Caenorhabditis elegans: one gene and its partner. The protein of the gene in region 2 purifies or fractionates together with the protein of the main gene of each other region. This does not show direct contact. Each region holds a gene or a part of one and is shown on either strand. Other genes may lie near its edges. The genes, in order: Y94H6A.2 and W02D3.12.

The links.
Region 1: the proteins of W02D3.12 (region 2) and Y94H6A.2 fractionate together in Caenorhabditis elegans (co-fractionation; one large-scale study listed by BioGRID). This does not show direct contact.

The regions. Positions count from the first base shown.
Region 1 is NC_003282.8:2,728,332-2,733,078, reverse strand, and holds Y94H6A.2 (DUF4781 domain-containing protein), read right to left. Parts: upstream 2,788-4,747; coding exon 2,781-2,787; intron 2,726-2,780; coding exon 2,442-2,725; intron 2,326-2,441; coding exon 2,200-2,325; intron 2,144-2,199; coding exon 2,015-2,143; intron 1,968-2,014; coding exon 1,723-1,967; intron 1,178-1,722; coding exon 962-1,177; intron 910-961; coding exon 675-909; 3' UTR 657-674; downstream 1-656.
Region 2 is NC_003279.8:6,739,927-6,743,062, forward strand, and holds W02D3.12 (Succinate dehydrogenase assembly factor 4, mitochondrial), read left to right. Parts: upstream 1-2,057; 5' UTR 2,058-2,062; coding exon 2,063-2,093; intron 2,094-2,141; coding exon 2,142-2,380; 3' UTR 2,381-2,454; downstream 2,455-3,136. Other genes in the region: dhod-1 (Dihydroorotate dehydrogenase (quinone), mitochondrial), read left to right, coding at 388-462, 926-1,085; cytb-5.2 (Cytochrome b5 heme-binding domain-containing protein), read left to right, coding at 1,362-1,454, 1,506-1,838; Transcription factor unc-37, read right to left, coding at 2,598-2,756.

The DNA of each region.
Region 1 (4,747 bases), on a different chromosome or scaffold from region 2:
AAGAAGCGTTTTTAATTGTTTTTGTAGTATTTGAAAATTTTCTGTATCGACACTGGCGCCTAGAAAAAACCTTTGAATATTTCATGAATTCAACTTTGCGAAAATTACTCAGTTTTTTTTGTCTTCACAAGGTGTAACGACCCACAAAATCATCCGAGCTTAATCTTCTATTAAAATTCTTGAAAGTCAGATCAAAACGTTCCCCGAAAAATACTAAAATGAGTTTTCCTGCATACTGCTGCCGCCGCTCACATCTATCTTTCTGGCGACTGTGTCATTCAAGGCTTCTATGTCATTCAAACTACTGCCACAGTCATACCATGACAGAACTTTTTTGGATTTTTGTTTTCAAAGAATCTCTAGACCAAGAGCATTCTTTGAACTATAAAAACTTGTAAGATACTTGATGGGTTCCTCGAAAAAAAAAAAGTAAAAATCCCGCAGAATGCCGACTTGCGTGCCATCAAGAACGTGATCTCAAAAGTTCGGAAAGCCTGCAGCGATGCGGTTAGGGAAATTTTAAAAATTTTAAACGTTAATCTGGTCAGTATTTCATGGAGATCAAAATTTATACAAATTGATGTAATAACTCTCGCCACACGTGAAGTTACAGAGCTGCAAACGTGTTACCATACTTATGGCGCAGAAGAAAAATCAATCAACAATAACTTTATTTAGGATACACCTGCAAATATCCAAAACGATTTACGATCATAGTTTTTTCCCAAAAAAGTCTTTTCGAAAAATCCCTCAATCAAGGCGCCGGGTCTTTTTGAATACTCATTTAAGTACCAGTTCACCGGTCCGAAAAAGATAGTAGTGTTGCGCCGAATGATCAACACAAGTCCACATTCATCGCCGAACCGTTTGCAAAGCTTTTCCGCATAATCAATCAATTTGAATCTGTAGCTGAAAAAATGTTTGGATCAAATGTTATGCCATTAAGCCGCAAAATACAAACTCGTATTCCATTGGAAGGGCAGCTTGCAGCTTTCTTTGAAGGTTCTCCTCGTGCCTTTTGCAATCTTGGGTTCTGAGGCTTCGTAAAACAAAAGCATTGCACCCGTTTCGATTGAAAGAAGATTTAAAATTGCGTTTGAAATAGCTGTATGAAGTGAATTGGTACTCCTCAGATGAACCGTCACAGAAATCGTAGACGATCACGTAAAATTTGTGGCTGAAATATTTTGGAAAATCAATTTGAAATCTGACTGTTTGCGATATGGTGTGCAAAAAATGGTTACATTTGTAAGTGGATGTGAGAAAAATTACTGACGTTCACAGCAGGGCTGTCTTTTTTTGAATAAATTTTCGGAAAACGCAGATTTTTTGGCTTTTTTGGTCTTTCGGGACCAAAATCTTTTATATTTTTTCACAAATTAAAAAAATTCCAGAAAAAAATTGGTTGGCCCTCAAAAGCCTAGAAATCATCAGAAATCTGCAAAAATCAACATTTGGAGGAATTTTACGGGCTGCGAAAATCGTGAAAAATGCATTGAAAATTTTTCAGAGCGACTTCTTTCCAGTTCAAAGTGCCTAAATTGACCGGGGTTAAATTGGAATACTTCCTTTGTAAGCCTAATAATGGAAATACTATTCACGTTTTAAATAACTTAACAGATAAAATAATTGCTACCCCGGTCATAATTTAATTTGAAAAAAGTAAAGTTATAATACACAATTACCCTTTTATGTCCCTTGTCAATTTACAAAAATACTCACTTTGTCATGATCTTGCCCAATTCTTTAGTCAAAATATTTCGTATATTTTCACTTCCCTCATTATTGTCTTGCACATTATGGATTAAACTTAAGACTCCATCGTCCCAGTACGAGTGATCTTGACGGTATTCTTCAGCCCATCTATTCATTTTCAGTTGTAATTCTTCGGTTTGCTTCTTTAAACGACTCGGTCCAATCATGTTCTTATCGCAAAACATTCCATTCTGGTACGTCTCCAAAATCAGCTGAATATGATACACTTTATTTAGTGAGGGATGTAGTGAGTACCTACACATTGGGCAAGCACTCCGTCGATTATTTTTCTCCATTTTTCAAAAGTTTCCGTTGGTCGAAGAGGATCACAGTTCATTGCCATTTTGAGAGGATTCGTTTCCTCCTGGTCGAGTTTTATAATCATTTGCTGGAAATTTGAAGCTGTCTAACATTGAAATCTTGTGATTCCTTAATAAGTCCTACCTCTGCAATCCACAAAGGTTTATTATCCGTCACAGCGCCACGAAATAGCTCTTTTGTGTATTTACAAGGATTGTTCATCGTATCCTGCATGTATTTCATCAACGTTTTGATTGTAGCGACCTCATTCTGCAAAATTTTGAGTAAGGGTAAAGGGTGAAGGTTAAAAAGGGTCGTGATTAACTTTTTTCCTGCGCAGAAGGCTTCGTAACCACACTTTGAACCAATATCTATTCCGAACATACCATGTAAAAGTGAGACGTTGTTATAAATGACTTAAGATCACCGAACAACGCGTCCATCTTATGTGACAGTTCCCCAATCTTCTTGTCGAGCGTTTTGAGCTCGCTGAGTATCAGCTCCGTTGATTTGTCATCTTTGTATGCAGCCATCGTAACATATGCACTAACTATAGCACCGCATGCACAAATCGCAGTTAAATGCGGAACCACTGCGGCGGACGCATAAGCCCCATGTACTCCTAGGCAGCCAGTGACCACCGAAATAAATCCCGTCGTGTAGTTTACAGCTGGAAAATTGAGAATTCGATTCAATTTCATATTATTTTAAAAATAGAATCTTACCAGCCATCTTGAAATATATAACTGTCTCCAAATAGAAAAGCAATGATGTCTTATCTTTCTTTTCTCTGTTCTTGTTTTATACTCTAGTGCTACACATTACACGCATGCCATTTTTCTTGTGGAACTAAGTATGAGGAATACTGACATTTTCTTTATCAGGAATGCTAGCGTCTTCCTCATAAAAATTCGGAAAGGGCAAAAATGTCAAAGAAAATTATGTGTTGAAAATACTCAAATATGTCAATAGTACCAAGTGACTCATTTAGGGAACACGATTTTTGGCATAGTAAGTGAGTTCCGAACTAAAGAACTAAACTATAAATTCTGATTTTTTTAAAAGATTTTAAAAGAAAGAAAAGATTTATTCACAAAAAACATGTAAAAGATACATTAGTTTTCCTTGAAGGTATTAGATAAAATATTTATTTAAAAAAAAAGAAATCGCAAAAAGATAAAATGTCGTAGTTTTTATTACAATGGAACGGTTTTGAATAAAAACTACAAATATTCATCGAACACCAGCAATTATCTCAAACTTTTGACCGTACCAGTACTGAAAAAAGTCGCCACTACCAAAAAAAAAGTCAGAACCATTGCCCTTGAAACATCTCTCAATACAGTCACCGGGTCCTCTGGGATAATCGTCTGGGTCACAGTTTACCCAACGTTTGCGAATGTTTCTATGTTTTCGAATAATCCCCACAAAGCCACATTCGGCGCCGAACGTTTCGCGAAGACCACGCACGTACTCACGAAGGTCATGAATGCTGAATATTGATTTAAATTAATTAATGGTGTTTTCTTTAAATAAATACCGTATTTTCCGTATTAGTTCATATTGCATTAACATTAACATTAATTGTCTTCAGTTAAACACATTATAAAAGTATGGTAGTGGCGACTAATATAGAAAATGCGGTACACTGTACTTACTACGACTGTGGAGGTGTTGCATCGAGCATCCTTCGAAGAATCTCCAGGAGATTATGCGGAAAAGCTTTGCGAACGGTTCGGCGATGAATGTGGACTTGTGTTGATCATTCGGCGCAACACTACTATCTTTTTCGGACCGGTGAACTGGTACTTAAATGAGTATTCAAAAAGACCCGGCGCCTTGATTGAGGGATTTTTCGAAAAGACTTTTTTGGGAAAAAACTATGATCGTAAATCGTTTTGGATATTTGCAGGTGTATCCTAAATAAAGTTATTGTTGATTGATTTTTCTTCTGCGCCATAAGTATGGTAACACGTTTGCAGCTCTGTAACTTCACGTGTGGCGAGAGTTATTACATCAATTTGTATAAATTTTGATCTCCATGAAATACTGACCAGATTAACGTTTAAAATTTTTAAAATTTCCCTAACCGCATCGCTGCAGGCTTTCCGAACTTTTGAGATCACGTTCTTGATGGCACGCAAGTCGGCATTCTGCGGGATTTTTACTTTTTTTTTTTCGAGGAACCCATCAAGTATCTTACAAGTTTTTATAGTTCAAAGAATGCTCTTGGTCTAGAGATTCTTTGAAAACAAAAATCCAAAAAAGTTCTGTCATGGTATGACTGTGGCAGTAGTTTGAATGACATAGAAGCCTTGAATGACACAGTCGCCAGAAAGATAGATGTGAGCGGCGGCAGCAGTATGCAGGAAAACTCATTTTAGTATTTTTCGGGGAACGTTTTGATCTGACTTTCAAGAATTTTAATAGAAGATTAAGCTCGGATGATTTTGTGGGTCGTTACACCTTGTGAAGACAAAAAAAACTGAGTAATTTTCGCAAAGTTGAATTCATGAAATATTCAAAGGTTTTTTCTAGGCGCCAGTGTCGATACAGAAAATTTTCAAATACTACAAAAACAATTAAAAACGCTTCTTCACTTCTTTAACTTTGAATTTAACATAAAAATCATAGATCTGAAAATTATTGGCGTGCGTGGGATGTGCGTTTGTGTGGGAAGTGCCGCGTGCCA
Region 2 (3,136 bases):
AAAATTAAATTGTTCAATTTTTAATTTGTTTTTTGAGCAGTCTCTTTATGTAATTCGGCCATTTTGCGTGTGTATAATCGAAAATCTAGAACCTTTATGAAATTTTAACATAAATCAAAGAACCCAAACACCAAAAAATCACAACGTTGAACCTTCTTGGCTAGACTATAGACAATTGTCATCATTTTTACCGCATGTCCCCTTGTTATTTCGTTTTCTTTGGCCACTTGTCACCCCGGTTACACTGGGAAAACCAGGCGGCGTATTTAGTTTGATTCGTTTTACTGCGCAAATATGGTAAGTTAAGTTTTCATCATTTTTCAAATCGATAATTTTTCAACAAAAAAAATTGGTTTAATTTTGTTCGCATTGATAGTTTAATTTCAGACTCACAAACGGACAAATTCCAATTATCGGCTGTGGAGGAGTGTTCAGTGGAGCAGATGCATATGAAAAGATTAGGTAAGTGAACTTCCCAGTTCGAGGTCGAGTGGGGAAATTATCAAAAACCATTCCTATCTTGCTAAAATGACCAAATATTATTATAAAACTTTTCAAAAAAAATTTGAAACATTTTTTGTTTCGTTTCAAAAAGCAGTGAAAAATCGGTTTTCCCCTATTTTTCTTTGGAAATCGACGATCAAAAAAATGTTATTCTCCAGTTTTATGTTCTAATTATGTAAAATATGCATATTTCAACATTTTAAAGGTTTAAACATGATACAGTGATATAGATTTTTCGAAAAGTAAAAACACAGTTTTCAACGCCTTTTGACTCAAAATAAAAATTGAATTATAATATTTGACCATTTGAGTACAATATATGGTAAGAATGGTTTTATTGATTTTCCCACAGGCCGTATAGTCCACCGTTATTCAATCAAAGTATTAATTTCAATTTATTTAACTAAATGTAAAATTTCAGAGCCGGTGCTAGTCTGGTCCAACTCTATTCCGCGTTCGTCTATGAAGGATTTCCGGTAATCGGAAAAATCAAACGAGAACTTGTCGAACTTTTACGGAAAGATGGATTTTCGCATGTTTCGGAAGCAATTGGAGCTGATCACAGAGAAAAAACGAAATAATTATATTCCCAAGATTTTTGTTATTTTTTCAGGTTGACTTCATTTTCATGGGTGTTTCAAAATTGTTTTATAATTGAATTATTTTCTTCCGATGTTCAATGTGCCTTTTCATGAGATTGTAGGGTAATTCTTAGTATTTTCTGCATAAATTATTTGATTTCCTTATGTTTTTTTTTTCAATTTATACTAAAGTTTCTGGTTTTCAACCGAAATATATCACTTTTGAATAATTTTCAACGACTTAGAGACCATTTTTTGTTTCAGGGTTCATCAATTATGTCGGAGCTACGTGTCATTTCTCTCGATGAGGTCTCAAAGCACAACTGGGAAGATGCTGATCAATCGTGTTGGATTGTCATCTCCGGAAAGGTAATTTTTTTTTCATTTTTTAAATTTAAATATCGAAATCATTCCTTACAGGTCTACGATGTGACAAAGTTCTTGAATGAGCATCCAGGAGGTGAAGAAGTCATCACTCAATTAGCCGGTAAAGATGCTACAGTTGGATTCCTCGATGTTGGGCACTCAAAAGATGCTATTGAAATGGCCAATGAATATCTCATTGGTCAATTGCCAGAATCAGACGTTCCAAAAGTCGAGACAGCGGCTGCGAAACCTTCGAAAAACGAAAAATCATCATCTCTCCTCAATGATTTCACCGAAATTATGACTTCACCAACATGGACCAACTTCCTGATTCCAACTACAATGGGACTTGTCATTTATGCCGTGTACAAGTGCATGTTCAATTAAATTACCTTAGCTCTTATCCTATTCTTTTGATCTTATGCGCCCACTTTCTTGAAATGCATCAAAGAACATTTGTTTCTATGGACTTTTATATATGTGATAAAGATTTGTTGTCAATATTTTCATATGTTACTGAAGGAAAAATGGGTGGAGCCTTGGAGATATCGATGTAACTTTAGTCGCAAGATTAGTCCTATTGAAACAATTAAAAAAAATATTCAGATCAAATGCTTCGTCAGATTCTTCGTCCAATTTTGAGTATGGATTTTACACAAAAAACAATTTTCTAATTTCTTGACGATTCAGATTCTTCCCGCCGATTCGCAGATATAAAACCAAAACAAAGTGCGAAGGAGAAGGTGATGGCTGAGAAGACACCGAAAGGAGCACTTGATAAAGCAGACGAACAACAATATGAAGATCCTCACCTCAAGAAACATCCGGGAGGTGTGAATAAGTCAACTGGAGAAGTTGGTGGACCAGCTGGACCAGAGCCAACTCGATATGGTGATTGGGAGAGGAAGGGAAGAGTTTCAGATTTTTGAAATGTTTTATTAATTGCTGTTAAAGTCAAGTCAGATCATCATTGTTTTGTAGTGCAAATAAATAAATGTTTTAAACATAGAGTGACATTAATCGTAATAGGGTACACAAATACGAAAATTTGACAAACGAAATTAGAAGAGATGAGAGAGATGAAACGATTATCGTACAGAATAGGGGTTTTGAGTATCATGATCATAAATTCACTGCGGAAAAAAATTAATATTCAACTGCATAGAGAGTTGCCTTCTTCTCCCCTGATCCAGTGACAATGAGTGAGTCGTCGAATGAGATGTCACATGAGAGAACGGAGCTGTTCTCTTTTAGTTGAAAGAGTGATGCTCCGTATGGAGTACGCCAGGCGTTGAGAGCATTGTCCTGAAAAATTGAGATTATGAGGTTTCAATTAGAAAAATTGAGCCAATTACCGTATTTCTTCTATTAATATGGCTGCAATACTATTTTTCGATGGTCTTCCCGCTTGCAAGACTAATAGGGAGTGCAAGAATATTAGGGAGTGCAATACTAATTTTCAGAATATTTTTCTGACTTTGAGCTTACTAGTTTTTTTCTGAAAAAGCTCGAATCTTATGTAAAAATACAAAAAATTTTGATTTTAATTGTAACCTATAAGTTCAAAAACTTCAATTTCGTATAAATTTTGTGAAAAATTGTTGCACAATAGGCAAAAAATATTGTTGAAATCCTGAAATTAGCGAGATGGGTTTGCAATAAAAAAAAAGTAAACGCAAGACTAT